4 linked regions of the Diceros bicornis minor genome follow. The protein of the gene in region 1 interacts with the protein of each later gene in a pairwise test. Links are inferred from orthologs where the notes say so. Each region holds a gene or a part of one and is shown in the gene's direction. Other genes may lie near its edges. The genes, in order: MORN4, EXOSC8, HMMR and RANBP3.

Evidence for each region.
Region 2: the proteins of MORN4 (region 1) and EXOSC8 interact in binary tests that used the Homo sapiens proteins (3 or more experiments, as listed by UniProt). The two-hybrid records come from large-scale screens. The link is inferred for Diceros bicornis minor from reciprocal best matches to the Homo sapiens genes MORN4 and EXOSC8.
Region 3: the proteins of MORN4 (region 1) and HMMR interact in binary tests that used the Homo sapiens proteins (3 or more experiments, as listed by UniProt). The two-hybrid records come from large-scale screens. The link is inferred for Diceros bicornis minor from reciprocal best matches to the Homo sapiens genes MORN4 and HMMR.
Region 4: the proteins of MORN4 (region 1) and RANBP3 interact in a two-hybrid assay, tested with the Homo sapiens proteins (2 studies listed by BioGRID). The two-hybrid records come from large-scale screens. The link is inferred for Diceros bicornis minor from reciprocal best matches to the Homo sapiens genes MORN4 and RANBP3.

What each region holds. Positions count from the first base shown.
Region 1 is NC_080745.1:63,377,926-63,384,805, reverse strand, and holds the start of MORN4 (MORN repeat-containing protein 4), read left to right. Parts: upstream 1-3,861; 5' UTR 3,862-3,999; intron 4,000-6,880. UniProt on the Homo sapiens protein: Plays a role in promoting axonal degeneration following neuronal injury by toxic insult or trauma.
Region 2 is NC_080748.1:19,384,448-19,392,114, forward strand, and holds the start of EXOSC8 (exosome complex component RRP43), read left to right. Parts: upstream 1-4,655; 5' UTR 4,656-4,698; coding exon 4,699-4,715; intron 4,716-5,835; coding exon 5,836-5,872; intron 5,873-6,116; coding exon 6,117-6,180; intron 6,181-6,744; coding exon 6,745-6,818; intron 6,819-7,667. Other genes in the region: ALG5 (dolichyl-phosphate beta-glucosyltransferase), read right to left, coding at 3,412-3,477. UniProt on the Homo sapiens protein: Non-catalytic component of the RNA exosome complex which has 3'->5' exoribonuclease activity and participates in a multitude of cellular RNA processing and degradation events.
Region 3 is NC_080740.1:78,364,101-78,371,536, forward strand, and holds the start of HMMR (hyaluronan mediated motility receptor), read left to right. Parts: upstream 1-4,433; 5' UTR 4,434-4,520; coding exon 4,521-4,566; intron 4,567-7,436. Other genes in the region: NUDCD2 (nudC domain-containing protein 2), read right to left, coding at 1,038-1,189, 1,415-1,463, 3,656-3,844. UniProt on the Homo sapiens protein: Receptor for hyaluronic acid (HA). Involved in cell motility. When hyaluronan binds to HMMR, the phosphorylation of a number of proteins, including PTK2/FAK1 occurs.
Region 4 is NW_026691615.1:2,332,846-2,340,106, forward strand, and holds the start of RANBP3 (ran-binding protein 3), read left to right. Parts: upstream 1-4,258; 5' UTR 4,259-4,273; coding exon 4,274-4,495; intron 4,496-7,261. UniProt on the Homo sapiens protein: Acts as a cofactor for XPO1/CRM1-mediated nuclear export, perhaps as export complex scaffolding protein. Bound to XPO1/CRM1, stabilizes the XPO1/CRM1-cargo interaction. In the absence of Ran-bound GTP prevents binding of XPO1/CRM1 to the nuclear pore complex.

The sequences.
Region 1 (6,880 bases):
TCTGTGAAGACTGCGCATGCTCTAGGAGCCAAACCCGGGTCAGACACGCCCTCTGCTTTTACCAGCCCCGCCCCGCCCTTAGCTTCCAATTGCTGACGGGTGTTCGGGAGCCTTCAGTAAAGTAGCCTACTTAATCAGTCATTCCTTTATTGAGTGCCTACTATGACCCAGCTGTGGGACTGGAGAAATCTAATCTTTGTATCTGCATTCATTCAATCAGGCACTCATTCATTAAATATTTATTGAGCACCTACTACGTTCTAAGTGCTGGGGAGACAGAAGTGAAGCAAAGAAATAAAATCCATGCTGTTAAAAAACAAAATTCGACTGAGTAAATTTGAAAGATCGTATTGGCTTTATTCAGTGACTCATGAATGGGGCAGCATCCCATCTAGCAGACAGAAAGGAGCTCTGAGGAGCTGTACAAAATGGAAGGCTTTTAAAGGCAGAAGGGAGCCAGACAAGGAAGTTATACTAGCAAAGAGTGGGTTGGTTGTGGCCAAGTCACCTTCCTTTAGGGATGGCAGGGGTCTATCAGGCAGATTACCTCACTAGTGCTGACCAGGTAATTCCAGACTGACTGGGTTAAGATTCCAGTCAGTTAAGTATTAAGTCTCTGCTTCATGACATGGGGCTTAGCATAACTGACTCCATTTGGGGCCTGTTGTCTTGTTTTTAACACTAACTAAATAAAAAAGTTTTAAAAAACTCCAGCCCTGGTGCAACTTACACAGTGCCTGGCCCAATGCTTATTTGTTAATTGAAGAACGATATGGTCCCATTAGACTAAAAATACCAAGAGGTAAGAGTCCATGATTGTTTTATTCATCACTGTGAAACCTCAGTGTCTAGACACAGTAGGTGCTCAATACATTTTTATTAGCAGCAAAGAGAAGGAAGATATAGTTCCTGCCCTCAAGCTGAAGACACACAGCTCTGTGAGGCAGTAGGAGAAAAAGAGCCAACAATGAGAGCTGAAACCTCCACAAGAGGAGTTTAGTAATTTGGGGGTAGGCCGGAAAGTCAGCAAAGGCCTTAAGTGGGGCATGTGCTATGAGCTAAGTCTTAAAGGAAGAATATAATTAGATCACTGGGGAAAAAGGGGGAGAAAAGAGGGAATCAGAGACATTTAAGTTTGAACCCCGCTCCACACTTATTGTTTTGTATGAGTTAACTCTCTAAGCTTCAGTTTCATCATCTATAAAATGGAAATAATCATCACTTCCTCAATGGATTAAATAAGAATTTAATACATTAAATTCTACATTTACTACATACATTATGTATGTAGAGCACTTAGCATAGCCCTTAGTACATAAAAAGCGTTCAACAAATGGTAGCTTTTTATCACTGCTGAGCTTTTGATTGATACTGGTTTTGCTTTTGTGCTTAAAGTAACCAGCAGACTAAAGGCGTGAGTTTTCACAAAAGATGACCAGCCACATAGTAACCAATATTTCATAATCAGTCTTTCTTGAATCAAATGATTGCCACAGCTAACTAGAAGTACTAAATTGAAAGAACTATTGTTTAATTCTATGTATGGGAACGTCTTAAACTTTTTTTGCCAGGTAAACCATTCTAGACAAAGATCATATAGATGGTTCAATTTCCCCTTTTAGTTACAAGACGTGTATTTCCCCTTCCTATCCAGCATCAAATAATTAAGTAATATTTGCTTCTTGTGTCCCAGGGGCCATAGCCACCGACATGATCTCTTGGTATTATTCATCTCATTTACTCCCTAAGCTTCAAATCATGGTGAAGGAAAGCCCCAAGATTTAGAGTTCTCTCTTGAATTCTGAGTTTTCTGTATGGAAAACCCTCAGAACTTATTTCTGTATCTCCCTCTTGGAACTTGGTTTTCCTTTTACTGAAAAAAAGAGTGTCAATGCATTCCCTGTTACCTATGAAAAGCTAGCCCTTACCAAATGCTAAGCATGTGTCAGGCGTTGTTTTAAGTGCATTACATAGAGTAAGTCATGTAACCAGCATTACAGCCCCTATGACGTTGGAAGCTGAGTAAAGTAACTTGCCTATGGTCATGCAGCTGGTAAGTGGCAGAGCTGGATCCAAACCCAGGCAGACTAGCTCCATGCTTTTAACACTATATTGCTTCTTATTAAATATCTCTGTGAAATGTGTCTCATCTTTACCCCCTTTCTTTCCATCTTCACTGATGCCACATTAGTTTTGAGACTCTCAGAATGTCTTAGCTACATGATTACAATAGTTTCTGAGTTTGTTTCTCTGCTTCCAATATCTCTCTGATTATCTCTGGGTATCACTGCCAGATTAATTTTCTTAAAACACTAATTTCATTGTGTCACTGCTCTGATCAAGAAACTACATTTTTTATTGTGGTAAAATATACATAATATTTATCATTTTAACCATTCATAAGTGTACAATTCAGTAACATTAAATACATTCACAATCTTGTGTAACCATCACCACTATCTATACCCAAAACTTTTTCATCATCCCAACAAAAACTCTGTACCCATTAAACAGTAACTCCCTCTTCCCCTAGCTCCTAGTAACCTGTATTCTACTTTCTGTCTATTAATTTGCCTATTCAAGAAATTAGATTTTGCAAACCATATCTTCTCCCTAATTTTTCAGGTTTTTCCATAATTTGACCACAATCTATGTAACATTACTTCTTCGTATTTTTAAATACACATTCTCCAATCTTATAAGATTTGTTTTCTGGATATTCCATTCTCTCAACTACTGCAATTATATCTATAGTCAATACCACAGAGTTTAGCGTGTTTAACCTTTGAGTGTTAGAGCTAGATTGAATCTTATAGGTCTCCTAGTCCAATCTCATTTTACAAGCTAAAGTGCTTAATAACTTGCTTGAAGCCACACACAGTTGGTGGCAGACACGGGATTTGAACACCGAATCAAAGTCTTTTAAAACAATTTAAAACTACCATTTATTGATAGTTTCAGACACAGTACCAAGCATCTTACGTTGTATTCTCAGACAAGTCCTGAGGAGACTTTATCATCATCATTATTATTATCATCATCATTTCTATCCTACAGATGAGGAAATCCTAATTTAGAGAAGCAATTTGCTTACTCTCTTCACGCACTTGCCTTCTCTTACTAATGAAATATAGTCTTGGATTTTTCCATGTGCATGAATCTTTTCTTCTCCACATTTAGGCAGTAAGTCCCATGAGGGCAGTGATCATGTCTTTTCCAGCCTGGCAGAACCTAGCATCGTACTGCATTCACACTGTTCAGTAAATAAACATATGGATAAACGGATTGGTGTGCATGGTATTTGGGAGGATTTTCTCCAATCTTGGCACTGTATTGTAACTACAAAGGATCTGGGTAATGACAACTACAAGACAAATCCTTACAATGGATGCAAAAGTGTCCTCATATCACAGAGCTGGCACGGGGTGACACTCATTAAACTGCAGTTGCCCCGTCCAGTGTATTACAACGTACAAAGCTGCACCTCAAAAGCCAGGTTCCGGTTCTGTCCTTAAACTCCGCGGTGGTACCGTTTACAGCTGTGGAGACGGGGCAGGATCGGAGCCGCCCGAGGTGGTCACTGTTGCGTCTGACGCAGGTTTGGCTTGGTTTTGTTTGGGGTTGACATTTCGGCTAGCCTGTCTCTGGGTAGGCGACAGCTGAGTTCTCTCTGTCCGGGCGGCGGAGGTGGGGTTCAGCCCCACCCCTCTGTCGGACGTTTGGCCCCGTCTCTCAACACACTCCGCCCCGCACAAAGATGGCGCAGAGCCCGGGCTGGGCCAATGGGGAGTGGCGTTGCTCCCGGTTGCCTAGGTAACAGCCAATAGGCAGCGGGAATTGTGCCCAGTGCGGCTGCCCGGGATGGCGGCGTCAAGCGGAGCAGGCGCTGGTGGAGGTGGCCGAGAGGCAGGTGGCAGGGGCGAGACCGACGGAGCGGAGGTCTGGGCGGCTGGAGCCCCGCGTCGGGGCGTGACGGTCACCCTGAAAGGCCAAGCCCAGGTTGGCTGGCAGCGCGGATGGGAGTGGGCCGGGAGCGTGTGGTCGGATGAAGAAGGGACTGAGGAGCCCAGCCCGAGATGACGGGCTGGGGAGCGCGGCTCCATCCTGGACGCGCTGACCGGAGGGCGGCTGCCCCAGGGGTCGCAAACCCGGGCCTCTCGTCCCCACCGCGGGGGTTGAGGCCCGGGAGAGCCCACGGTACTTGGGTTAGCGAGCGGGGTGGGTGGGGCTGCGTCAGGAGGGGATGGCAGACCTGTGTGAGCAGAAGACCCGGTAGAGGGGAGGAGCGGTGCTGGAAGGCAAGAACCGGGTGGGAGAAGGAATGGGGAGTCGACAGGGAAGTGTTGCCTTGTTGCGTCTAGGGCTTTGTTTGCTCTGGGCCCGGCTCTCTCACACTGTGGTGGAGAGACGTCCCACACGCACATCGAGGCTTGGGGAATGGAATGCCTCAATTATTGATGGTGGCATCCCTGCAGTCTAGCATCAGCAAACTGCTTGGGTACCAGCAGGAGTAAGTCAGCTACGTTAGAACCGGCCAAGGCATTTTCCTTTGCCGTGAAATAGAATAGCATCCTGGCAGTTCCCATCACCTCCAAGTCTTTTTTTCTCTTTCTTCTTTCCTTCTCTTTCTTCCTTCTCTTCCTTCCTTCCATCTTTCCTTCCTTCCTCCCTTCCTTCCTTCCTTCCTCCCTTCTTTTTTCTTTCTTCTTTTTTTACAATCTTTCTGGTGTCAGGATTTCCTTCCCACTTTCTTCAATCTAACCATCTCACAGTCTTCCTAAATAAGACGTTTATCTAGTAGCAATACGTTTGTTTACTTTTAGAGTGGAAGGAAGTAGTAAAAGAGACTTATAGACTTATAATACAGTTGTTTCAAGCTCATTTAAAACCCCTGAAAAAGAACATTTGACTTTTTGTTCTAGATTCCTTACAAGCCTAATCTTGGTTCATCAAAGCCTTCACTTTCTTCTCTTTAGGATTGAAAATCATAAGAACTGCTTTCTTTATAACTGAACAACTTTGACAAGACTGTCATACCCTAGGGAGGGTGGCTTTAGGGGGACAATGTGAAGATGTATATGGATAAAGGTGGCTGCCTCTAAACAATATTCTGTTGAAAACCTATTCTCCTTTATGTTAGTTTTTTTCAAAAACCCTCTGAATTTGGACACAGGTTACTGTGAATGCATGAATATTTCTTAACTAGTTTGATTTCTGAAATTAAAAAAAAGACAAATGGAACAGAAACAAAAGTTCTCATTCCTGTCTCCGAGTTCTACTTGGAAATGTCTGGGGCAGGAAAAAATAAGAAGCAGGGATGTAGTCTGTTGTGCAGACTAATAGTATATTGGTTTACAGGGACAAAATCATCATTTTCTTTTAGATAAACATTTGGATTAATTCTTAGCAACCCGTCTATCAAGAGAGTTGGAAGCGTGGGTATCTGTTTAGAAGCGTGAATCATCTTGGTATTGTAACTAGATTCCATATGTATATCTGAAGCCTAAACTCCTAGGCTATCTCTTCTCTTTAAAACGATTTTTTGAATAACTGATACAAATACTGATTTGCATCCCTTATTAAAGTATTGGGTTTTTCAGTCTTCATCAGTTGTGGCGATACTTTATTGAATTAGATTTGTCTCAGTGACCGTGGTTACTGGTGAAGTTCCTTTTTGGGTCAGTGGCTATGCAGCTGACTATTAATTAGCGTGGCTAACTACAGAAGTCATATGAAAATCCTGACACTGTCCCAGGCAGTGACAGTATCAGTTATTTGGACACATGTAAAAGTTTCTAGTCAAATGTGTTAAACCATGGCCTGAGACCCATGGAGTCTATGTGTGTTCCCTTTAATTAGCAGTTCTGATTGTGTTCTTGGGAATGGACAGCATTTTGACAAGCAACTGTTGAAGGAAGTTTGCTGTGTCTCCCTGGATCAAAAAGGAATGGAAATTTATAGCATGTACTTTTTAAAACAAATGGGAGAGGATGTTCCAGTTACTATTGCTGTGTGACAAATAGCCCCAAACTTAGTTGCTTAAAACAATCATATGATGCTCACAGATTCTGTGAGTCAGGAATTTGGACAGGGCATCATGGGAATGACCTCTCTCTGCTCTATGATACCGCAGATGGGATGCGGGCTCAATGCCTGGGGGCTGCAATCATCTGAGGGCTCCTTTGCCTGGGCTAGGATGATTCAGTGATGAGGAATGCCAACTGGAGCACCAACAAACATGGCTCAGCTTCCTCGCAGCATGGTAGCCTCAGGGTAGTCTGGTTTCTCATGTGGTGGCTCAGGTCTCCAAGCACAAGCCTACCAGGGAGCAAGAGGGAAGTTGCCTCACTTTTTATAATCCAACCTCACAACATACCATTGCTTCCGTTGTGTTCTATTGGTCAAAGCAATCACAAGCCTGCCCAGATTCAAAGGAGAGGTGTGAGACTCTACCTTTTGAAGGGGCAATTGCAATGTCAGATTCTTTGGAAAATGCTATTTGCCACATTTGGTAATAAGATAATCTTTCAAGTTTCATTGACTTCTTTGAAATATTTAGAGTATATTCCCCAAGAGCTAACATCATACCAAAAGAGTAGCTAGGTTCACAATTTGAGGGCTGGCTAGTACTTTGTCCATAGATAATCCTCAGACTGGACAAACACTCTTCCCTTCCTTCAGGGACCGTCTTTTGGTCCCTCTGAAACAAGATGGGATGCCACTATTTGGAAGTTTCAAGTAGCCTTGAGAAAAAGTAAACAGATACAAGAGGCTGCTCCCCGTGAGCCTCTGTGTAGTCAGTCTGACTCCTCAAATTGCAATAACTCCTTCCAAAGCTTTGAGTGAGGATGTTAGTTAACTGCTGTCACACATTTAAAGG
Region 2 (7,667 bases), on another chromosome or scaffold:
CTCTTCCAACCTGTCATTCCCTAGCCCTCTGTCATTCCAGATCTAATAGGGAACAGTCACTACAGAAGTGCAATCTACTATTAGATGCCCTGAATGCCTGAACTCTGGCACAATCACAATGAGGTCCCACCCCTACTTGGAGCCTGTATGTGACAGATGACAAGTTCATATTGCAGTGGAATGTGTGGGGTGAGGGCAGATCTCCCATCCAGGACCAGATTGACTTAGGATACGAAGGGAAGATTCCCTCAATCCTCATAGTAGGAACCACTAATGCTTAAGAATATATTCTTGATACTTATCCCAGATTTGAATTCAGAATACAGTATTTTCTAGAGTAAAGTATCAAACTTGTAGGCTGTAGGCACCATGCACTACTAACATTATATAGCTCCTTTCCATATTCATTTGGGAGCTAGCTTTAGAAATACCATTCTTTGTAACATTGTTTCTATTGGTATACTTTCTGCTTGCAAAACAATCAATCTACAAATTTTTGGAATGCTACTCATTTGTAATTTGATGACCATTTATAATATTCCATTGGGTACAGACTGAAATTGAATATGCTTCTGATTAGTATGAGCATGGAGACAGTATCCAGACTAGTGGTTAAGAGTTTCTGTTCTGCACCCCTAGTGTCCAGACTGTGGTTTCCAAATTCAGTTTCCCACTAAAAGCAACCAGTGCTTCTAAGAGGAACGGCTGATTCAGGTCTGGGGCAGGAAATGTACAACAGTGGAAGAACAGTTAGACCAGAAAGCAAGGAAGGTATCCACGACTGTGAGGGCCACGCCAAAAGGACAAAGTAGCCAACGTGAGGGGCTCCCACTGGCCTATGATGGGAGGATTTGAGCACCAAAAAGAATAATTACTGCAATGGATTGAAACATATGAAATATATTTTATATTATGGATTCACAATGATACTAAAAATAAAAAATTGGTCACTTTTGTAAAATTCCAGGCAACTATCTCATTATTTTGAAAACTTGCCTTTTTTATCTTACCTTTTATATATGAAAGGTATTTCAGGGTAACTGAATAGCCAAGGATGAGATTTTTTTTCATTAGAGAATTCCAGGTAATACACGAAGGAATGATACAATTAGAATATTTCACTTTGCAACTCCCAGTGAAATAATGGATTTAGGTAACGATCATCAATGACTGCTAAAACCATTAGGTTAATAACAAGCTTGATAAATGGTGGGTCAGGCTAACAACTCCTGAACCTGTGGGTCCATCTTAACACCAGAGAAAATCAGACATTACACGCCTCCTGATGTGATAAAAGAGGAGGTATTCAGCATCACTCACACACTTTTCTTGATTAAAAAACTCAAACACACATTTGATCAAGTCGCTACATGTAACTACCAGTTTACAAGAAATTCAGGAGACAGAGTAAGACGTTAAAAGGCACCAAGGGGATGCAATCAGTGAAATTTAAATTGTGAGAAATGACACAGGACAAATGACCACTTGTTGGAGACAAGGAAAAGGAAAAAAAGAGAAGAGAAGAGGTTATCGATTAAGAGACTAGAGGCATGTTGCTCAAGTGCTATGTGTGTGAATGCTGACTGGAACAGCCTGACTGTACCAAGACACACAGGAGGCATTTGAACTGACCGGATACTTGACATCACTGAATAATGGCTACACTTAAAAAAACATCTGTGACAACCTTTTTGTGGTTTTATTTATTTTTTTTTTTTTGTGAGGAGATCAGCCCTGTGCTAACATCCGCCAATCCTCCTGTTTTTTTTGCTGAGGAAGATGGCCCTGGGCTAACATCTGTGCCCATCTTCCTCCACTTTATATGGGACGCCGCCACAGCATGGCTTGCCAAGCAGTGCGTCGGTGCGCGCCCGGGATCCGAACCAGCGAACCCCGGGCCGCCGCAGCGGAGCGCGCGCACTTAACCGCTTGCGCCACCGGGCCGGCCCCTGTGGTTTTATTTTTAAGAGGGAGTCCTACCTTTAGAGACAAATGCTGAGGATTTACAGATAAAATGTTATGTCTTGGATTTACTTCAAAATAATTCACAAAGGAAGTGGGGGGGGAAGCATGTATGGAGGTTGAATATATAAGATAGAAGATTAGTTGTGGTTTTTTTTAGGTAAGGGGGAATGATTTAAATGCTCTAGCATTTTTAAAAAACGAAGTTTCCCTAGCTATGTGATATTTGCATATATGAGCTCACCTCTCCAAATTGTTTCCTCACCAGTCAAATGAAGTTAATGATAACATTTATGCCAGTGTTGTTTCCAACATCAAATGAGATAATCCCTGTTAAACACTGAATACCCAACATATTGTAAGGACTCAATAAATGGTAGCTCTCATAATCACTTCAGGCTAGTGGGATCAAATACTTCCAGCACAACCTCATAATGTACACATTTAGATTTGTGCAACAGATTCAACATGAGGCAGATCCAATGTAGGATTTTGTCAAACTCTGCCCCACAAAACCCCTGAAACCTCTATATACCACTAAGGGAAAGAGGACTTCTTTCTCACTCAGACACAAATCACGAAAGATGGCAAGATACACTGCTTTTTCTCTATCGAAACTGTTTCCAGCTGTGAGTTTACAATATTTGCGGCAAGACAGCAGAGTGTTATTTAGGCTGTTAATCTGAATGTCAAGGAAGCAGAAACCTCTCCATTTACTAACTAGATGGCAGGCCCATTCCAAATTATACGGGAGAAAGGTCACTTGGCAAATTTTCTATTACTTATGGAACAGCAATGTATTTCCGTGTTTCCAGAGTAATGGCAAAGAAAATTCGAGTTTGAATTCCATTGTACTGCCTCATTTAGAAGCAGCAAATTTAGGGTGTTTAGTTCTGGGAGATAAAGACCTCCAGACATATGGTAACCTCAGGCCTCATCTATTTTGGTCTCCCTATGTCCGTAGGGGGTCTCCCCATCCAACGACTGATTCCAACCTGTAACAGACGGCTGCTGTCAGTGCTGTCACCACTTCCTATTTGCTGAACCACACACACCTTCTGGGGGCTCAAGACCTCCCCGGACGGAGCCAGACCTGCAGAGGCTGCAGACCCGGGAAGAAGTCCGGGAGAGGTCGGGGCACACAGGGCGGGTGGGCAGTGGGTCCGGGTACCAGGGGAAAGTGAAGACTGGGCGAGCACGTCCCAAAATGAACAAGCGTACAAGGCTCTGAGCACAAAGGGAGATAAAGCTCCAAAATAAAAATAAAGAGCGGAAGAAAGGGGGCGTGAAATTCTAGGAGAGGAAATTCTGGGGTCCAGGCTCGGGGGAAGCAAGGTAAAAAGGGACACGACGAGGAGCGGGCAGTGCGGAGGCGAGGACGCCTGGGGGCCGCGTTTCCAGGAGAGCAGTGAGCCCAGGCCCGCGTCGGTCCCCAACCCCTCTCCTCACCAGTATTAGAGCTGCGGCCAGCAGCGCCGCGCCGAGCACCGCCAGCTGCAGGAGAAGCGGAACCATCCTCCATGCCCGGGCCGCCGCGCCCGCCCTATCCAGCACCTACACACACGCGGAAGCGCGGCCGGCAGCCCCGCCTCCCGCCCGCAGAGAGGACGCGCCGGCCGGGCGCCCGCCGCCCACAGCGCCCCCGCGCGGCCCGACCGGGACCAGCCGCCGCCCACAGCGCCCCCGCGCGGCAAGGCGAAGAACACCTAGTAGTTCTTGTCTGCTAGGCGCTCAGAGGGTGGAGAGGCAGGCACTGTGTTTCCCTAGTAGGGTTGCCAGAATTAGCAAGTAAAATATAGGATGTCTACTTAATTTGAATTTCAGATAAGCAACTAATTGTTTTTTAACAGCCTTATTAAAATATAACTCACATACCATACAACCCATCCACTTAAAAGGTGTTGGTATACTACATTTTTTAAAACTGTGATAAAATAAAATATAAAATTCTAACCATTTTAAGTGTACAATACAGTTGTACTAATTACATTCACAATTTCCTGCAGCCATCACCACTCTATTTCTAAAACTTTCCCTGCTCCCCGCAGCCCTTGTTAACAACAAAGTAACATGCACTATTCCAGGCGTACTCATAGTAAAAAGAAAAAAATACTTTGTTTATCTGACATTCAAATTTAATTGGATATCCTGTATTTTATCTGGCAACCCTATCAAGGAGGGATGCGGAAGCCGTAAGCCACGACACAGCCTTCAACACAAGCTGCTCCTTTGGAACCCGCTCCGGGGACCTGCAAAGAGTAACCTGGCGCGGATACGAGCGCACAGAAAAAGAACGTGCTTCTCCGGTGCTGGAGCAGGGAGCCCTTTACCTGGGAGAAGACAAGCCCAGGGCCCGGTCTGAGCCGGAGGCGGGGAAAGGACGGAGAAACATTGGAATAATGCTCCACACTCAATACTAGATTCTTGGCTGTTAGTCGGTTTTCTCTTAAATTCTTGAACTTCCAGACTGTTTCTAAAGAGAGCCGCTCGTCACTTCACTAACAGCAGATTCGCCAAAACACCTCTAAGGCAAGGAAAGCCAGACAGGCGTCCGGCTACGGACGGTGGAAGCGAACGTAGTGCGAGCGCCCCCTCGCGGCGCCCCAGCCTCCTGCGTCTCTGCAGCGGGAGAAGGGCGCAGGCGTCCGTGTCCAAAGTGTGGAGGCGGAGCAGGCGCGCGAGCGGAGCGCGGGGTCGCCCCGGCGCCGGCGCCGGCGCAGGCACGCGGGCGGGAAGATGGCGGCCGGGTTCAAGTGAGTGTCGGTGGCCGGCGGGCGCGAGTTTGTGCGCTGGTGCATCGCGGCTTCCTTTAACCCTTAGCTGGGATTTTGTCACCTGGAGGGCATCCCACTAGGTTCCCACTTCTTTCCCCCTCGGAAGCGGGCGAGAGGCGGCAGGACCGGAGGTGGTCGTAGTGAAAGGAAAGGGGGCTTCTCCCCGAAAGGGAGGATGGAAGGGACTGTGCCTCGAGTTCGGTACTTGGGGCGAGCGCTTGTGGCTTGGTGTGTGGTGGACGTGCGGCGCCAGGAGGCACAGTTGTAATCTTTTAAAAAGTGTTGCATCAGAACCACACGCTATCGTATTCTTCCTCTCCTGTAATTTATCTCTAAAAGGGTTATGCCTTGTTCGGAAGGTTTTACTTAAACCTTTTTTGTGCCGCTCTGGCGAAGCCTATAGATTTTCGTTCTCAGAGGCAAGTTTTTAAATGGATGAAATAAGATTTCAAAGGAAACCAATTATATTGAAACAGTTATCTGTATAAACTGCGAGTTCAGGTATTTTAGGTACTTGTTTTAAAGTTGATTTTCTTAAACAACAAAATCTGTGGGGAGTTTAGTAACTAACTCTTGGAATTTCAAAGTAACAATGAGTCTAAACATACCTTCGACAATTATGAAGTAAAAACGAAAACATTTAATCTCTGATTTTTTTAAAGTCGCAAATACTGCTAATATGACGGTTTATTGCCTACAGTCATAATTGAAGAATATGCTCAATTTCAGTGTAATTTAGATAGTGAAAGTAAAGATGTAACTCTTTTTCATGTTCACCAAGAATTCCTGCTTCAGAGCGAGAGTGACATCATTATTTTAACACCTGGATTAATCCTCTTTTAAAGATGCACAAGAACTTTGGGCTCCAATCCTGTAATTGTTTAACGCAGAATTAAGGACAGCAGTCGAGTGTGATTGCTCCTGCAAGCCTATCTACTTTTTATAATTAGTTACATGTGGCAACACAAACATCAGAATTCATGAAAGACTCTTAGTTACAAATTGTGGAAATTTATGCTGCATCACCACACTGCCAATTTCTGGATTTATGTTAAGATTCATTAACTTACCTCAGATATATTTTTAACACGTGTTTCAGAACTGTGGAACCTCTGGAGTATTACAGGAGATTTTTGGTGAGTAAAGGTGGTTATGTACATGCTATGCCTTTTGATAATACCTTATGCTTCTTTTAAAGACAATTTTCATATATACAAATGTTGAACCATGTTGTACATGTGAAACTAATATATGTTAATTATACCTCAATTTAAAAAAACAATTTCAAGTAATTCAGATTAATTCGAGTTAACGAGGTTTAATGTGTTTTCCTTGGTGTGTGTAAAATATAGATGTAATCTTTCATAAAAATATATTTAGAAAGAGAACTGCCGTCCTGATGGAAGAGAACTTGGTGAATTCAGAACCACAACTGTCAACATAGGTGAGGATATTTTGAATTCTAATAGAATGTTGAAGTTGCTTTGATTTTTAATACTAGTAAAGAATTTTTGTTTGTAAAGTTTTTCTTTAAACTCACTGTTCTCTCAATTGATATGTTATTTAAAATTTTAAAGTAACTATTTTTCCCCTTCCTTCCTTCAGAATCTCCAACACAGGGTGTTCTTATATGTCTTAAACTTATTAAATCCTCTGTTGCAAACACTGAATTTTCTAGTTTTACCTGTATGACATTGCCAAGTTGTAGCCTCTCAGCCACTTAAACAGTATTTCAGCCAAATTCTACCATGTTTAAGGGATTTCAATGATTTTGTGTCATGAGATTTTTATCTGTATAACAGTCCTGTGCCTGAATGAAAATGATTAACAAATTCAAGGACAGGTGAATAATACTTAAAACAATAATTTTAAATAATTATACCATTTTAAAAAGACTCAGGCTAGGAATAAATTTTCATAAGCCACTGAGATGTGTAGCAAGATAAAATCATAGAAAACGAAAATACTTCTTATGGTCTTCATTTTGCTTAAATACTTATCTTTTCAGGTTCAATTAGTACTGCCGATGGTTCTGCTTTAGTGAAGCTGGGAAATACTACAGTAATTTGTGGAATTAAAGCGGTAGGTTTAATATATGTCTTACTGAGATTTAAGTTACCAAATTAGCTTCATATACTTATTATAGACACCTATAATTCTATTGTTGATTAAGCAGTCAGGTGTCAGTTTTTTAGTATTTGTTTTCATTTTCCAAGAGCTTTCACCTTTGAGTATTAGATAATATGACCCAAGTTTAATGAGTCTTAATTTATGAACATTCACAAAATACTAAATAAAACCATTTAAAAAATCCTCACCACCTTTAATTTTTAGAAAATTTGTCATCTGAGAAATTGAGAGATTTTTGGTGACATCCTTTTGTCCCGTGATGGCATTTAATCTGTGCAAATGTGTAGAAAATCGAGATTGTTCAAAAGAGAAGCCTGAGAGGACAATAGCTACTATTTACTGAGGGGACAACAGCTGCTATTTACTGGGTATCTGCTGTATTTCAGGCACCTTGTATTAGGTGCTTTACAGATTTATCCAGTTTAATCCTCAGAAGAATCATTTGAGATATAATTTATCTCTTTGTCTCCTGTTTTACAGAGGTTCAGTAATGTGTACAGGAACATGTCTCACAAATAGAACTTAGATATAGCTGACTCCAAAGCCTGTTGCTTTTTTGAGTATGTTGCACTCTGTGAGTTTACTTAACCTAAGTTAAGATTCTCCCTCCATAAAGCTGAGGTGTTACCTAATAATAAGATTTGAGCACTTACTCCTTGCCAGGTTGTTAGGGACTTTACATCTCACTTGATCTCATTAACATTCCCTAAAAGTAGGCTCTGTTAATTTCCCATTTTACAGATGAGGAAGTTGAATGGTAAGAAATTAAATAACCTACCCAGAGTCTCTCAGCCAAAAAAT
Region 3 (7,436 bases), on another chromosome or scaffold:
CATCACACAGATGGAAATTATCCATCAAAACTTGAACAGTGCTTTGATCCAGTAATTCTTCTCCTATCTATCTATCTTAAAAGAACGTTTGAATAGTTTCACAGAAATGAAAGCACACACTTTGAAATAGACACAAATGGGGAAATCTAAATCCTATCAAAGGGGAATATCTAAATAAATAATTATGATACATTCAAACTAGAAAACATTCTGAAGCAGTTAAAAAGAATAAGTTTTATCTATATGTACTAGTAGGAAAAGAGACCCAAGACAATTTATTAAATGAAAAAGCAACAAGAAAAATACACGAAGTGTGACCATTTATGTTAAAAACAAAACAAGCAAGCTAATATACTGATGAGATGAGAAAGAGACAAAGGCATGGAATGGGGAAATGTTGATAAAGGCACCCTTCACTTTTTTAAACTATGTAAGTCTATATTGATTGAATTTTTATGAGTTTGTTCATGTATTACTGGTATACAACATACCAATTTAAACTTAAAAATCATGGCAGTACAAATAAATCCCTCTAAAGAAAATTAAAAATCAAATCCATACAGAGAAAGGCCAATCATTTTTCTAACCACTTAACTTAAAAAATTACTCTAGGGGCCGGCCCCGTGGCTTAGCAGTTAAGTGTTCGAGCTCCACTACTGGCAGCCAGGGTTCAGATCCTGGCACGCACCGACGCACCGCTTGTCCAGCCACGCTGAGGCCGCATCCCACATACAGCAACTAGAGGGATGTGCAACTATGACATACAACTACTTACTGGGGCTTTGGGGGGGAAAGGGGAAAAAAAAAAGGAGGCGGATTGGCAACAGATGTTAGCTCAGGGCCGGTCTTCCTCAGCAAAAAGAGGAGGATTGGCATGGATGTTAGCTCAGGGCTGATCTTCCTCACAAAAGAAAAAAAAACATTACTCTAAATATTTTTCATAATTTTTATAACATTTGAGTTTTAATTTCAAATAATAACTATTCTATGATTTTAAGATGTTTAACTATACATAGTCACACATTCATCTGACTTACTTCTTTCTGGAATCTCTCCAATGTAAGTTTTCTCTGCATTTGGTCTTGCACCCAAGGATCAGCTGCATATTCAGATTCTAGAAGAGAAGTCCAACAATTTGCTGCATCTCTCTTTGTCTTTGTAAGAACAATACGGACCATTTTTCTGTCTTCTGAACAAACAAAAATCACAAAAAAATTAAAGTTCATCATTAAATTTTTTATTTTCAAAAACCATGATGTATTCTTGACATACAATTGTTTTCAGTACACTTCTATTATTATATCTTCCAAAGCTGCAAAGACAAAGGACCTAATACGATAGGGGAAACATACTAAGTTCTAAGACTAAATTAATTTTTAAAAAGATTCTAAGAATTACAATAAATTACCCTTACCCAAAGTCCATGTTGCCTCATCAGCTATTGTAGAATCAAAGAGTTTGCCCTGAAAAATAAACATATAAAGCACTAAAAATACAGTCATTTCATTAATTTTTATAAAGCTCTCATGATTTAAGACTTACCTAATTTCCTATCTAATCCACATATAATTTTCTAATTTGGTTAGAACAGAGAGATCAAATTTCGTACCATTTTAACACATTGATAGGTGTTCAACTCTAAGTTTCCTCCTAGCAAGTGAAATGGAACCTAGTTTACAATGCTTGGAATATTTACTATGACAAAGAACACAGGGCTCTCTAAAAAAAGATCAGGACTTCTTAATTTTTAGAAGATAAAGAAATATTACTGATCACTGATTAGCCAAATGTGAAATTAATATCTGAAATACTTTAACTTTACCAATTAAAATGAACTACAGGGGCTGGCCCGATGGCGCAAGTGGTTAAGTGCGCGCGCTCTGCTGCAGCGGTGCAGGGTTTGCCAGTTAGGATCCTGGGCGCGCACCGACGCACCACAGCACGCCATGCTGTGGCGGCGTCCCATATAAAGTAGAGGAAGATGGGCAGGATGTTAGCCCAGGGCCAGTCTTCCTCAGCAAAAAAAAAAAAAAAAAAAAAAAAAACAAGAGGATTGGCAGATGTTAGCTGAGGGCCGATCTTCCTCACAAAAAAATAAATAAAAAATAAAATGAAATAAAATGAACTACAAGAGCTCTCCTACTGAAATTAAGAAGAAAGGATGTCTTTCAAAATAAATTTTTAAAAACTGGTTTAATCTCTTTGTCAGGCAATTTGGCATTTAAAAAATTTTAAAGCACATACTGCAGATATGATGTCAGATTAGTTGTGACTGATTTTTCAGAATCTCTTAAGAAAGAAATAAGCAAAAAAAATTTTTTTAATTAAAAAAAAGCAAAATATAAGTTTAAAAGACAATCCATCTGCTCGAATCCATTTTGATTTGTTGCTACTTGCCAAATTTAAGTTTTAGGAAATGAAATTAAAATGTCACATAAAAAAAGAATACTCATTTTTTCATATGTCAATACTAGTGAAAAAAAAATCTTACTGGTCTAAATGTACACCTATAATCCTAGAGTTAGAGTTAATGCTAAATTTCCAAAGTTATTGGAATTACTAAAGTAAATGTGAGGTGTAATCTTGAACCACTGTTCAGGAAACTATGAAATGCTCAAATATTCAGAAAGATCATTAAGATCCAAGTTGACATAAATCAGTCTTTCATACGACTCTTCCTTTTGCAGGAGGCAAAGCACTTCCATATAAAATAATAATAGCTAACATACAGTGTTCACGTATTAAGTACCTGGCACTACTCCCAGCTCTTCATTCACATGGATACCATGTTATGCCCACAACAATCCTGAGAAAGGTACTATAATTACCGCACTTTGTGGATGAAGGATTAGAGACACTGAATAATCTCTTGCCCAAGGTTACAAAACTAAAAAAACGGCAGAGCCAGATCTCCTACCAAGTAGTCTCCCTTCACCACTATACTGTCCTCCAACATCTTGGGCATCTAATCCGAGCAAGATATCTAACTTCAACTTAATTGAATTTAACTATAAAGCTTAACAAGGACAAAACGGGTCCCAGAGCCAAAGGGCACTGGTGAGAACCAAAGTGGTATTAATTATTTTCTTCACACACATCTTGACCACATGCTTAACTGCTCCACGAATACGCAGAATTTTTCTAATTTTAGATGAGAAAATCACCTGACATCATCTCTGCAATCTTCATCCCGATATCCTTAATTTTCTTCTTTACTTTCCCATAACTGCCTAAATATGTATTAGTTTAATTATGCCTCTCTACAAGAATATAACCTCTGCAAGTACAGGAACCTTATCTGTCTCGCGCACCTAGATCAGTGCCTGGAAGAAAGTATATGTACGATAAAATTTGTTCCTTTAACGACCTAGTTAAGTTGTTCTCAGCTAAAGACCCCCAGAGGAACAAAAGCAGCAGCTTCATCTGGTTTAGAAATAAAGCCAGAAAAATCGGCTCCGCAAATTTCCAGGTCAACTGAGGACTGGCCCTGAGGGTGGGGGCTCTAACCAGATCAAAACCAAGCCAATTTTCTCTCTTTCGGCCACTCACAGGAGCCGTAAGGCTTTCCAAGTCTTTCCACGAAAACCATGAATTTTAGCACTCGGGGATTCAGCGAGCCGGGGAAGAAACAGCACAAGCCCCGAGCTGCCGCTACCTTGAGGATCTCGCGGCCACCCACGGCCAGAGCCACATGCCGGCTCTGCAGGCCGCACTGGATATCCTGGGCGCGAGTCCCTGGCGGCACCTGAACTTCAATGAACACCTCCTCCAAGGTCTGGTACCACTGGCCCCACGGCGTTCCGCACGGAACCACCCCGCTGCGTTCCTCAAACGGGACCGACATACTTCGGTTGCCTCCTAGCTGCAGCCGCGCCGTGCGAGCTGAGCGCATGCGCGAAATCTTCACGGTCAGGCCACGCCCCGGCCTCGCCGCTCGGGGCACTGCACATGCGCAGGGATGTGAGCTGAAGTCAGCCTGTATGTTCGTTTTTCCCTTTCAATGGCCTTTTAGGCCAAACTGGGAAGGCCCCAGTTTGAAAGAACTGAAACCCAGAAAAGATTACATTCAAAGAAGGGTGAGAGAGGGTTAGAACCACTTAAGCTGGAACTCAGTGCACTGTCACCTATATGACGCCAAATTCAAACGTGAAAACTTCTCAGGTATGAAGTGCGCTTGCGCAAATGCTGCTAAGCGCGTAAGTTACAATTGAATAAAGCCAGGAGCGATTGGACGCGCGGCGGGAGGCGGGGGAAACACGACAGAAGTAGTCTCCTATTGGCTGGTAGCCTAAACTCACGGGCTATCTGATAGGACTCGGCGAGAGCGGAGTGCGCTCGCTCTTTGGATGTTCCCGTCCTGGATTGGTGTGCCCAGGGTTTTGGTTTTCCAATTGGCTAACGTCGGGATGGGCGGGGAATGAGCGGCGAGATTTGAATTTGAAGCGATTAAGTCCGTAATAAGCCGCAGGAAGTTGGCGAGGAACGCTAGTCACCTTCGGTCTGTGGAGCTGGTCGTCAGCATGTCCTTTCCTAAGGCGCCCCTGAAACGATTCAATGACCCTTCCGGTGCGTACGGGGAAAGGAGCTGGGGGACGGGAGACGATCCCACGCCCCTTGCCCCTCTCGGTGTTCCCTTCATCATAGGCATATTGGAGGCGATTTTAGAGCTGGGATGGGGCTCATTAAATTGATTCATTTTTCTGGAATAGGTACTAAGCGTTTAGTACATGCCAAGCACAATTTAGGATGATAAGGATAGAGCAGTGAGCGAAGCAAAGTCCCTGCCCCATGGAGCCTACCTTCAGTTTAGAATACAGCCAGTAAACAAGTAGTGCTGTGGAGAAACTAAACCAGAGGGAAAGGAAAGGGGCCACGAAGCGTTGGTAGCTATTTGATGGTCAAATCCGGAAGGCCTCACTGATAAAAAAAACTTTTGACCATTGCTTTTCGTCTGAACTTGTTTATTTCTTTTGGATAGTCCATTCGGACATGAAAGAAGGAAGACTGGTACAGGTAGTTTATGGGTGTAAAATTAAAGCAGTAGCATTTACCGAAAACACTATAATTTAAGTAGTGGCAGCTACTATTGATGGTACCCCAGGCACCATACTGTCTTGACATTGATTATTAGTCCTTTTTAAATTCCCCAACATCCCTGAGAGGTAATCCTATTATTCATTATTTTATTGATAAAAAGACTGAGACTTAGAATTGCTCAATATTAACCAACCAAACTGGCAGAACTGAGGCGTGAAACTGGGTGCGCGTGTATCCTGTGCTCTTAACCACTGCAATGCATAAGCACAGTAACCAGGAAGACTGGATGTGGTTAGTAAGGCACTCATCATTAATTAGATGCTAACTATATGCAGGGACTGTGCTAAGTTCTTCCCTTCTAGATCTGGTTTATTTTTTCCAACAGCCAGGTGAGGAAGAGACTAATATTGTCCTCATTTTACAGATGAGGTTTAGGGGTTTTGTAACTGTACTGAGCAGCCAGTAAGTGGTAGAGCTGAACATTAAAGGCCATGATTTATCCATTCTAGTATACACTTTTTAACAGTCATTCATTACGTCTTTAATTTCTATCAGCTGATATGCGGCTAGAAATGAGCATCACTCTGCTCACAAAGGAAGGCCAAGTGGGCAATGGATCAACCAAAGCTTGTTTTTTAATTAAAAGTCTCAAAGACCTAGTTATTTCCCAGCTAGTCAAAGAACCTGCTCTAAGTTCCATCAGTAGTGTGTCTTTTAAGGTGATTTTTTTTTTTCTTTTTGCTTTATAGTAAATTAAACTGGCTTTACCAATGACACAATATTTCAGGCTCACAGTCTCAGGAGTAATAACAGTTATCACTTATTTGGTGTATGTGTGTGTGTGTATGTGCTTGGTGTATGTGTGAAGCACTGTAGTGATTTCTCATGTTACTCCAGTAATCCTAACGACCATGCTGAGGTAGACACTATTTTTTTATTCCTGTTTCCTGAATGAAGAATCAGCCTCAAATAGAAATAACTTTCCAGGGTCTTAAAGCTAGACTGGAAAAGGAGAGAGTATAATGGTCTTATTTACCAACTTCTCCCTATGAGAACAAATTACCTGGCGCGTAGAAGTATCTCTATTGATTGGCAGACAAAGCTGGATTTGAACCCTGATCTGGCTGATTACAAAACTCTATTCCCATCCCTACATCCCCAACGACTTTCTTCTGTTTTCTTCACCACACTGCCAAACTCAACCATGAGCTAAATACTGTGGATACAGACATAATTAATACAGTCCCCAACTTCAAGCAGTTTTGTCTAATGTGGGAAATGGATAAGTACATTATTATAAGCCATTACAAAACTATAAGAAGTTCTATGATAGGAACAATATGTGCAGGCTGCTATGGAGGGAGGTTTCTAACCTGATTTGGGATTTCAGAGAAAACTCAAAGAGGTGACATCCAGACCGATCTGAAGGATAACTGAGAGTTAGCTAGGCAAAATGAAAGGTGGGCTGTCCATTCTAGGTGGGAGAAATAGAAAATAAAGAGGTCTGGAAGTTTGAAGCATTTCTTTAATGCATAAAATGTTTTGTTTGCATACAAGTGTTGGCTGCCTGTGTTAGCTTCCAGTCGTTGTTGACCAAGATATAAGTTGTTCCAGAAAGCTTGCGATATCTCCCAAGATATCCTATTTCTTTTGTCTGATGTTCCCTCTCCCCAGATTTCTAACAAGTCATATCTATAATGTCGTACATTGAATTGTTACTAAGGAAAAGACCTTGAAAATGGCATGTGCCACAGTCTCACAAAGAGTTGATAGGTATACAGCCTGAATTTCAACCTAGTTCTTCTTAAATCTAAATCTCCATAACTATCAAATTTGACTCTTGAGTCTTTAGGGAAGAGTTTCTGTTAAGTATGGTTTTAGTTGTTGTCAGCTTGCTTGATGCTTGGTCACTGTCCACCATCCCATCTTTTGCTGGCCTTTATCCCCTTTTGAGAGTGTGGACCTGATGATGAACTACAATACTAGAATTCAGTATCATTTTATTTTCTGGCTGCTCTGCCAAGTCTAAGGCATTGCTTCCCATGCTTTTCCACAGAAGCATTCCTAAGAGCAGAGAGCAAAGGAGAATAACCATTGTCTCTGCATCCCTTCGCTCCTACTTCCCCAAAACAGCATAACTAACAGTAGTGGTGACAGTTTTCTCTGAAGCCTCCTGTTTGCTTTAAAATATAATATGTTCCCCACTGCCTCCCCGCACCTCTAATCCCAAATAAGTAAAATAGATACTCTAAGATGTGCCAGCCTTAACCTGATCTTAGGGAAACCCCTGTCACCTAACTATTCACCCCAGGGTGTAAATAGTTGGTGAGGTCTGAGAAACCTGTGCTAACCAAGATTAATGCTTTTTGCTAAGTCTGCCTTTACCTTACATACCCCAG
Region 4 (7,261 bases), on another chromosome or scaffold:
CTCTGAGAAGACAGGCCAGACTGCTCTTTCTGTGCGGCCCAGCGCCCCTGGCAGCGTTTAAGCGCTGTGCCAGGAAGAGAGCCTTTGTGGAGGGGGCCGGAGGGGACAGCTGCCCTCCCCACACCCCCTCACAGGGAACCTTCTGTGTTAGCCGGGGCTCATCTACGAGGCTCGTCGTCATGGTCAACACTCCCATTGATAATTCTTTTGATGAACCCAAGGGAACGTTCTTCTGTTTCATTTCGGTTTTCCAGGTGGTATTTTCAAGATCCATCGACCCCTGCCTTCTCCTCTCCCTGGGCGCTGACCAGTACATGCCGAGTAATCACGTGTGTTTTTATCGTGTGTCCTTCGGAGGTTCGGTCACTGTGAAGGGGCAGTGCATTCCTCTAACTTCTAGAAATGGATGTATTCGATTTCTGTTTCAGATGTGAAAGTCACTTCTCTCGGGTTTTCTGTAAAATAGAATTTTGTAGAATTTGGAATTTTATCATGATCATCTTTTGAACCACTTTTAGTTTAAAACGGGTCAGCAAACTAAAGCCTGCTGTTACCACCTGTTTTTTTAAGTCAAGTTTTCTTGGCACACAGCCATGCCCATCCCCTTCACAGTAGCCAAGGCTGCTCTCACGCTGTAACAGAGAGTGAAGTGGTTTGGACCGAGACCATATGGCCCACGAAGTTGAAAATATTTAGAATCTGGCCCTTTACAGAAAAAAGTTGCTGACCTCAGATTTAAAACGAGTAATAGGAATTAATAATTCTTTAAACCTGAAGACTTTTGGACAACCAGCAGGATGAAACACTAAAATGTAATATTTGTTCGGTGGAGTTGAAAATGCTCATTCCTGTTTCAGTACTGTTCTCACAGTTGAGGTGCTTCTGTGGCTTCGTCATTCAAAGGCTGCCTTCTGTGTATTAACTTTAGAAGGTCGAGTCCTGTTACATAAATGGCAAATGGGGTGAATTGTAGCTAGGGAGACGCTCCCCATCATCTTAAAAATGTGCAAGTGCAGTTCTTATCAAAATATTGACCCAGAGCCAACTCTAAATGGGCTTCTAAAAATAACGGCTCTCCACTGCTGTCACAAGGTCACCGAAAGGGCGCGGCAAACCCCTCCAGAGCCGGAGGAGCCTTCATCACCATCCATTAGGGCTGCTTTCCGAGCTCTCGGGTGGACAGTGGCCAGATGGACGTGGAGTCTTCCTTTCTTTCTCTGCTGCTTGTGACAGCGCACAAGTAGGGCGGGAAGTAGGAGCTCAGACATCCAGCTTCCTTTCTCCTCTGCTGCCCGTTTAACGGCTCTGCAAGGAGCAGCCACAGTACTTCCGACAGCAGTGAGAATCTGGGGCTTCCACTTGCCTTCTCTCGGGCCGAGATTTCAGCCCGGCCCCTTCCACGCCGTAGACGCTGAGTTGGGAAAGGGCTGTTCAGGCTGTGCTCCTTTTTTTCTGAGCAAACTTTTCTCCCCTTTTCTCTTCGACTTTTTATTTTGCAAATTGTCAAATCCTCGGAAAAATTACAAGAATGGTGCAGCGACACTCGGGTCTCCTTCCCCCGGCTTCACTGTGAACGTTTTTATCGAAAGTGCTAGAACCACTCGGCTGTAAGTTGTGCCCATCTGACGTTTCTCCCCTAAATACTCCGCAGACATCCCCTAGGAGGAGGCCTTTCCTCTCCGTGGCCCCAGTGCCATTGTCCCTCCTGAAAACATGATCATTAATTTGGAAATATCCTTCAGTATATAGTCCATATTTAAATTGTCCCGATTGTCACCAGAACATCCCTTATAACTATTTTTTGAGCCATTTCTTGATCCGCAAAGATCTTTCCCCTATAATCTTTCATCTTGAATGATTTTTTAATTGATCCACAAAGATCAGGAAGTCCCGGTGTCAGCTGTGGGACCATTAACTTCCCTTTGAGTAACCCGTCTCTGAACCACCTGGTGGAGTGCGCTTCAGAGAGCCATGTCCCCCCTTCAGAGGAGCGCGCTCCTCAGGCCCAGCTCTCGTTACCAAATCATGATGGAGATAAAAGGTTTGAAATTAAAAAGAAAACAATTAAGCTGCCAGACAGGGTTTTGTTTTTATTTGGTGGCAAAGCCCCCCAGCGTTTTCTGCCATCCCATTGGTGGTCCGAGTTGCTTTCACATCAAACCACAGATTGTTGGCAGTGGCCCGCCGGTGGCATCGCTTCATCTCAGGATGAACGGTCACATCCTCCCATCGTTCCCTGTGATAGAGAGCGCTCGCCGTGGGAACTCCAGCCCTAAGGCCTGAAATCCAGCCCCAGAGGCAGACCGGCCGCCTGGGCACTGTCGTTGCTTCTTTCCACGTCCCCACTCTTCCTCTAGGTGGCGCTCTTCGTGAAGCACTTGCGTTGACCTGCATCTGTGTTTTAGGGGCAGAAATCAAACCTTTTTTTCTTAACTGCCTCGCGTTGAGACAGACAGTTTTTTCTTTTTAATGTGAAGAGAGCTTGAATCTCCTTCTGTAGGTTGTTTCATTGTTTGTGATGACTAAATGTTTCTTTCCGTTACTTTATCTTCCAAACATTTGTTAAATCTGAAGGGGAAGGCTTTGAGGCTGCCCTGGCAGGATAACGCCCATTTGTAACAAGACAGACAGCAGTTACAGAAACGCTGTTGAGCAGAAAGGCCGGTGTCACTGAAAGCTCTGTCGTAGTGTGTTTAGACCTGATTGAGAAGCTTGCTGTGGGCGAAACAAGCGTATCCTGTGTGCATAGCTATTTTCTCAGCCACATATATTTTAGCTCGATGTCAAAGGCTGCCAAAATTTTGGTGTTGGACTTTAACAAACCTGTTGAAAAACTCCAGGCTCTCTCAGTTCTTTAGAGATTACTTTTCTCGTCCAGCAAAAACACTTGGACCCAAGTAGAAAATGCTGGAATGGCACTTGTGTTTCTTTTTGGTCCTCCGCTTTAGGCTTCATTTCGAGTCCCCCATGCCACAGGGGCATTGGAACATTTATGTTCTGAAAACAGGGATTAAAAAACAAAAAACCCCAAGTGGTTCTAATTAGGGGCAGGCGCTTTCCCACAGGGTTCTGGGTTTAATTTCCTCTCGTGGAGTGTTAAATCTCTAGCCGTAAAGAAGCCACAGCCTGGTGTGCCGACCGACCTTGGGGTCCCGGGCAGGTTTGAGGGACAGCTTGGGAAGGAGGGCCCTGCCCGGATAGGAGGAGTCGATTTGGGTGACTTTTGAGATGTGTGGATGAGTCAACATTGTGTGCTTTTGCTTTCCTAAGAATGTTTGGAAGTCCTCTTAAATCCTCTATATACAGGTCCTTTCATCTGACAGGCCCACACGTTAAAAATCAGCCCCCAGGCCCCATCTAAAGAGGTTTGAGTTACTTACACTCAGAAGAAACGCAGCCACGTCTGCAGGGAGGCAGGGTGCCCCGTAGTCATTGAGTTCACAGAGTGAAACAGCTCTCTGTTGTGGACGATGCTGAGCGGGGGGTTTGGGGACCGGAGCCCATCTGTCCCAGGACACCAGCCTTATAACCTGTTTCTCAAGAAAAGAGTCTTGGCCTCAGAGCTCTCAGCCCGCGGAAGCCCCTCCAGAATCCCAGGAACCACCTCAGAGGATGCCGGGGGAGTTGTAATTTCGAGGATGAAGACTTCCGGAACTGGCTTCCTGACCCTGGCTGTTTTCCAAATCAGCCCTTGCCCAGAGCGTTTGGGGTGAGCCTAGGAGAACCGGTCACCCCGCACCTGCCCCACCGAGGCAGAAAGCCTTTCCTTCATCTCAGGGTTCAGCAGAACAGGTTGAAAGGTGCTCGAGGAACTAGGGCGAGCTGAAGCCTTTGGCCTGGACGCCCCATTTTGTGGCTGCCTGGTGTTCCGGCCACCTTCCCGCCTGTCCTAGTGGACAGGACAGTGCTGAGGGCCACCTCCCCTCCTCCTGTCTCTGAGGACGTGGATATTAACCCCTAGGGAGCATATGACATCCTCCATCCCCGTTTGTCACCAGGAGTGGTTTTCCTCCCCCAGGGCCCATCAGCAGATAGCTCCTGCCACAGGGCCCATCTCGCGGTTTTGAAAGTGAGCCCCAGGGTCCCTGCAGAGCCCAGCGGCAGCAAGTCCACGTGCATTTCCCTCTGTCGTGCGGGGGGCCGTTTTGTTGAGCAAAGCACGGGAGCCCATGCGGGCTCGCTTGGCCGTGCTCCGGGCAGGAGCCGCTGAGGTTGGGCTGTCTCGCCCTTTCATCCCCGCCCCTCCCTGCCCCGTGCTGCAGCCTTTATCCACATGGAAGGAAGATTGTCTTTTTTGCTCCCAGTCCTCTGCAGAGCAAAAAGACTTGTCAGATTTGGGAGAGGAGTCTTGAGGGGGGAGGCTGAGGCCCCCCACCATGGCACAGGTCACCCCGAGTCAGCTGGGGAGCACGGCCTAGCACCTCCTGCCCCCGCTAGCGCTTCAGCCCGCGCTCCTGAAGCCCAGCTTCTTCCTTCTCCGCGAGAACTGGCAGGGGTACGTCCATTTCCACCAGGATCCACGGCCTGGGGGTCCCAACCCGGATGGCCCTTTTCCCTTCGAGTCCCTCAGAGCCAGGCCCGAGATCATAAGCAGCTGAAGGTAACTGAAAAGACAGCAAGGTCCTCTTCATCTCCTCTGATTCCTGCTGCCGAAAGGTCTGGGAAGATTAAGTCCCTTTTCACATCAAGACTTTTCTAAATGGGGGAATATATACCCGTATAAGAAGCTAATCCTGTTTCCTGAAAGAGACACGAGGGGTCAAAAGAGGACTTGAGTAGTGTGGTAGAACCTTCCAAATCAGACTCGACCCCTTCTCGCTCCTTCCACTCCTCTCCCTGAATTGGAGCCTTCGAGGTCAGCGTCTTGGAAACGCGGGAAGCTCCGGCTCCTCTGACCTGTAGGAAGAGGCCATGTCTCAGGCAGATGGCTCTGCAGGTGCGATTGTGTTTGGACTGTGGTTAGGCTGTGAACTGCTTGTCTTCAGTGGAAGCAGGAAGGAGAAAAGACTCTCCCTTGGAAGCCACAGGGAACCCTTGAGCCCTTTATCTTTGTATTCAGAAGGCTTTGAATGATAGGTGGGGAAGGTTGTGAACTGTCGAGAACAAGAAGTATCTTGAGTTTCTGGAGTTTGATAAATTGGGAAAGGTAAACATCCTCCTACGTTAGGGCTGCAAACTCCGTCCTCTAGGTACCCAGTGACAGCGTCCCCCGTTCTCGTGATAGGGACAGTGACTCTTAACAAGAAAACAAAAGGCCCCGCTCTGCCATAGCGAGCGCCGGGCAGCCTTCCTGGTGTCACAGTTCCACACCTTCAGCGATTCCTCGTGTCGCATCACAGACCCCTGTGTTCTTAAGGAAACCGTAAAAATCCAGTTGCAGCCACCAAACCCCAGGATGCGCAGGAAGAAGTGACGTTCAGGAAGGTGAGGTTGGAGTCACATTTGAGCATTCTGGAGAAATCTGTGTGTGATGGAAAAAGAAGGAAGTCCTCACCATGTGCGGGGTGCAGGGTGGGCAGTCTTTCATGGTGTAGAAGTGGGTTGGGGGAGCAAAGCGTCTCAGAAGCCCAATAAAGATTCCAGCCAGGAGGCGCTGACACCAGAGTGTTCTGGAAGCGCAGCCCTCACACGAGAGCACAGGAGGGCTGGCAGAGCAAGAATTAGGAGGGGATGACTTTTTTGGTGGAGGGCAGAGAAGCTCCTGGAACCTTCTGAGTCGGGCGTTATGAGTTACTGTGTCTTCGGCCATCGTGAGCCCAGGAAATCGTGTTCTCAGTTCCCTGAGAACAGACGATCTTCACGAGGATCTGCACACGAGGCTCTTGCGCTGCTGCCTCGAGTGGAGAGCGCAGCTTACGGAGGAGTCTCCAACTGAGGGCAACACACGAGTAGATCCCAGAGGTCGTGTCCTGGCAGCTGCTCCTCCAGAGGCACCCAGGCTGCCCCGGGCCCTCTGCCAGTGCCCACTCGGTGAGACGGGTGGGTCACCACCCCCAAGAGGCCTGGGCAGGAAGTGCCCTGGGAGCCTCCCCTCCTGCCTGTGGCCAGTCTGGGCCTTGATTTCCGAGGCCTGGCCGGTGGAACTCGGCTTCTGAATTCTTGTAGACGTTGGGGCGCAGGCTCTAATCCCGAGAAATTCAAGCAGTCTCCAGAGTGGCAAACGCAAGGCTAGCCGTTGTGGCGGGGGGACCTCGAGATGTTAGGTCACCATGAGAGAGAGCCAGCCTTGTTGGGCATAGTGGTGAAGGCCGTGCATGTGACAGACACACGGGCACTCTTTCTTTGAGTGTTCGTAACCGTAGGAGTCCTCAGTTCCATCCGAAGTCCCAGCAGCGCCAGCGTCACCTCATTTGGTGACAGCTCTGAGCCAACCAGGGCTCACTCCGTTGGGCCCTCAGTGGAGGAAACCCTGGCTGGCTGCTAATGGCTCCCGTTAATTGGCTGTCTACTGATGGGGCATGTTCAAGGCAAAGTGGACTTTGTTTTTCAGGTCAGTTAGGACATAAGTCAAGGCAGTTGGAAGTCATCCCAGCTTCTCGGGCTGAGATTTTTCCTTGGTTAACCGGGACTGGTTGCTTTTGCCTCGGAACAAATTTGGATCTTGCTGTGTACCACGCTGGAGGTCCTGAAACCGCGCAAACGTTGCCCAGCAGGTCTCATCCGTCACGTGTGGTCTGCTCTTTATTCCTCCTTCCCTCGGGGAATGGAAAGCTACGCGTTCTTGATGATAAATAGTGGCTCTCTGAAATGTTGCTCATGAAGGGCCCTTATCGTCTTTCCGTCTCATCAGAGCTCTGGCCGTTGAAGACTCAGTACCAGGAAAAAGTCTCTCTCAGACTTGCTGGCTCTCGGAAGACAGCTTGAAGAAGGCCAAACCACAGCCAGATTACGTTCTCTCTGATCCGCAGAAAGCAGGCGGCTTAGTGCTTACCCTGGGCCCGGCTGCGGTCTGCTGGCCTGAAGCTCCAGCCAAGGCACCGCTGGGCTAAAGCATGTTTATTAGACCCACCAGGAAGCTTGGAAAGGTTCTGGAATGAGCCCCGTGGCTGGACAGCTTCCCTCGTCTTCCAGCTCCTGCACGGGGTGTGACCCTCGTTCCATTCCCGCCCAACATCCAGATCTCTGGAGCCCGTTTCTTTGTTCCGTGTCTGCCTTTTGGGTAAGCGTGTCTGAGCTGGTTGCCTCAGCCGCAGAACAAACAGCATTGAATTGGCCCGTGGTCCATGTGAAGACAAGGGCACATCAACAGGCCCCTCCCTTA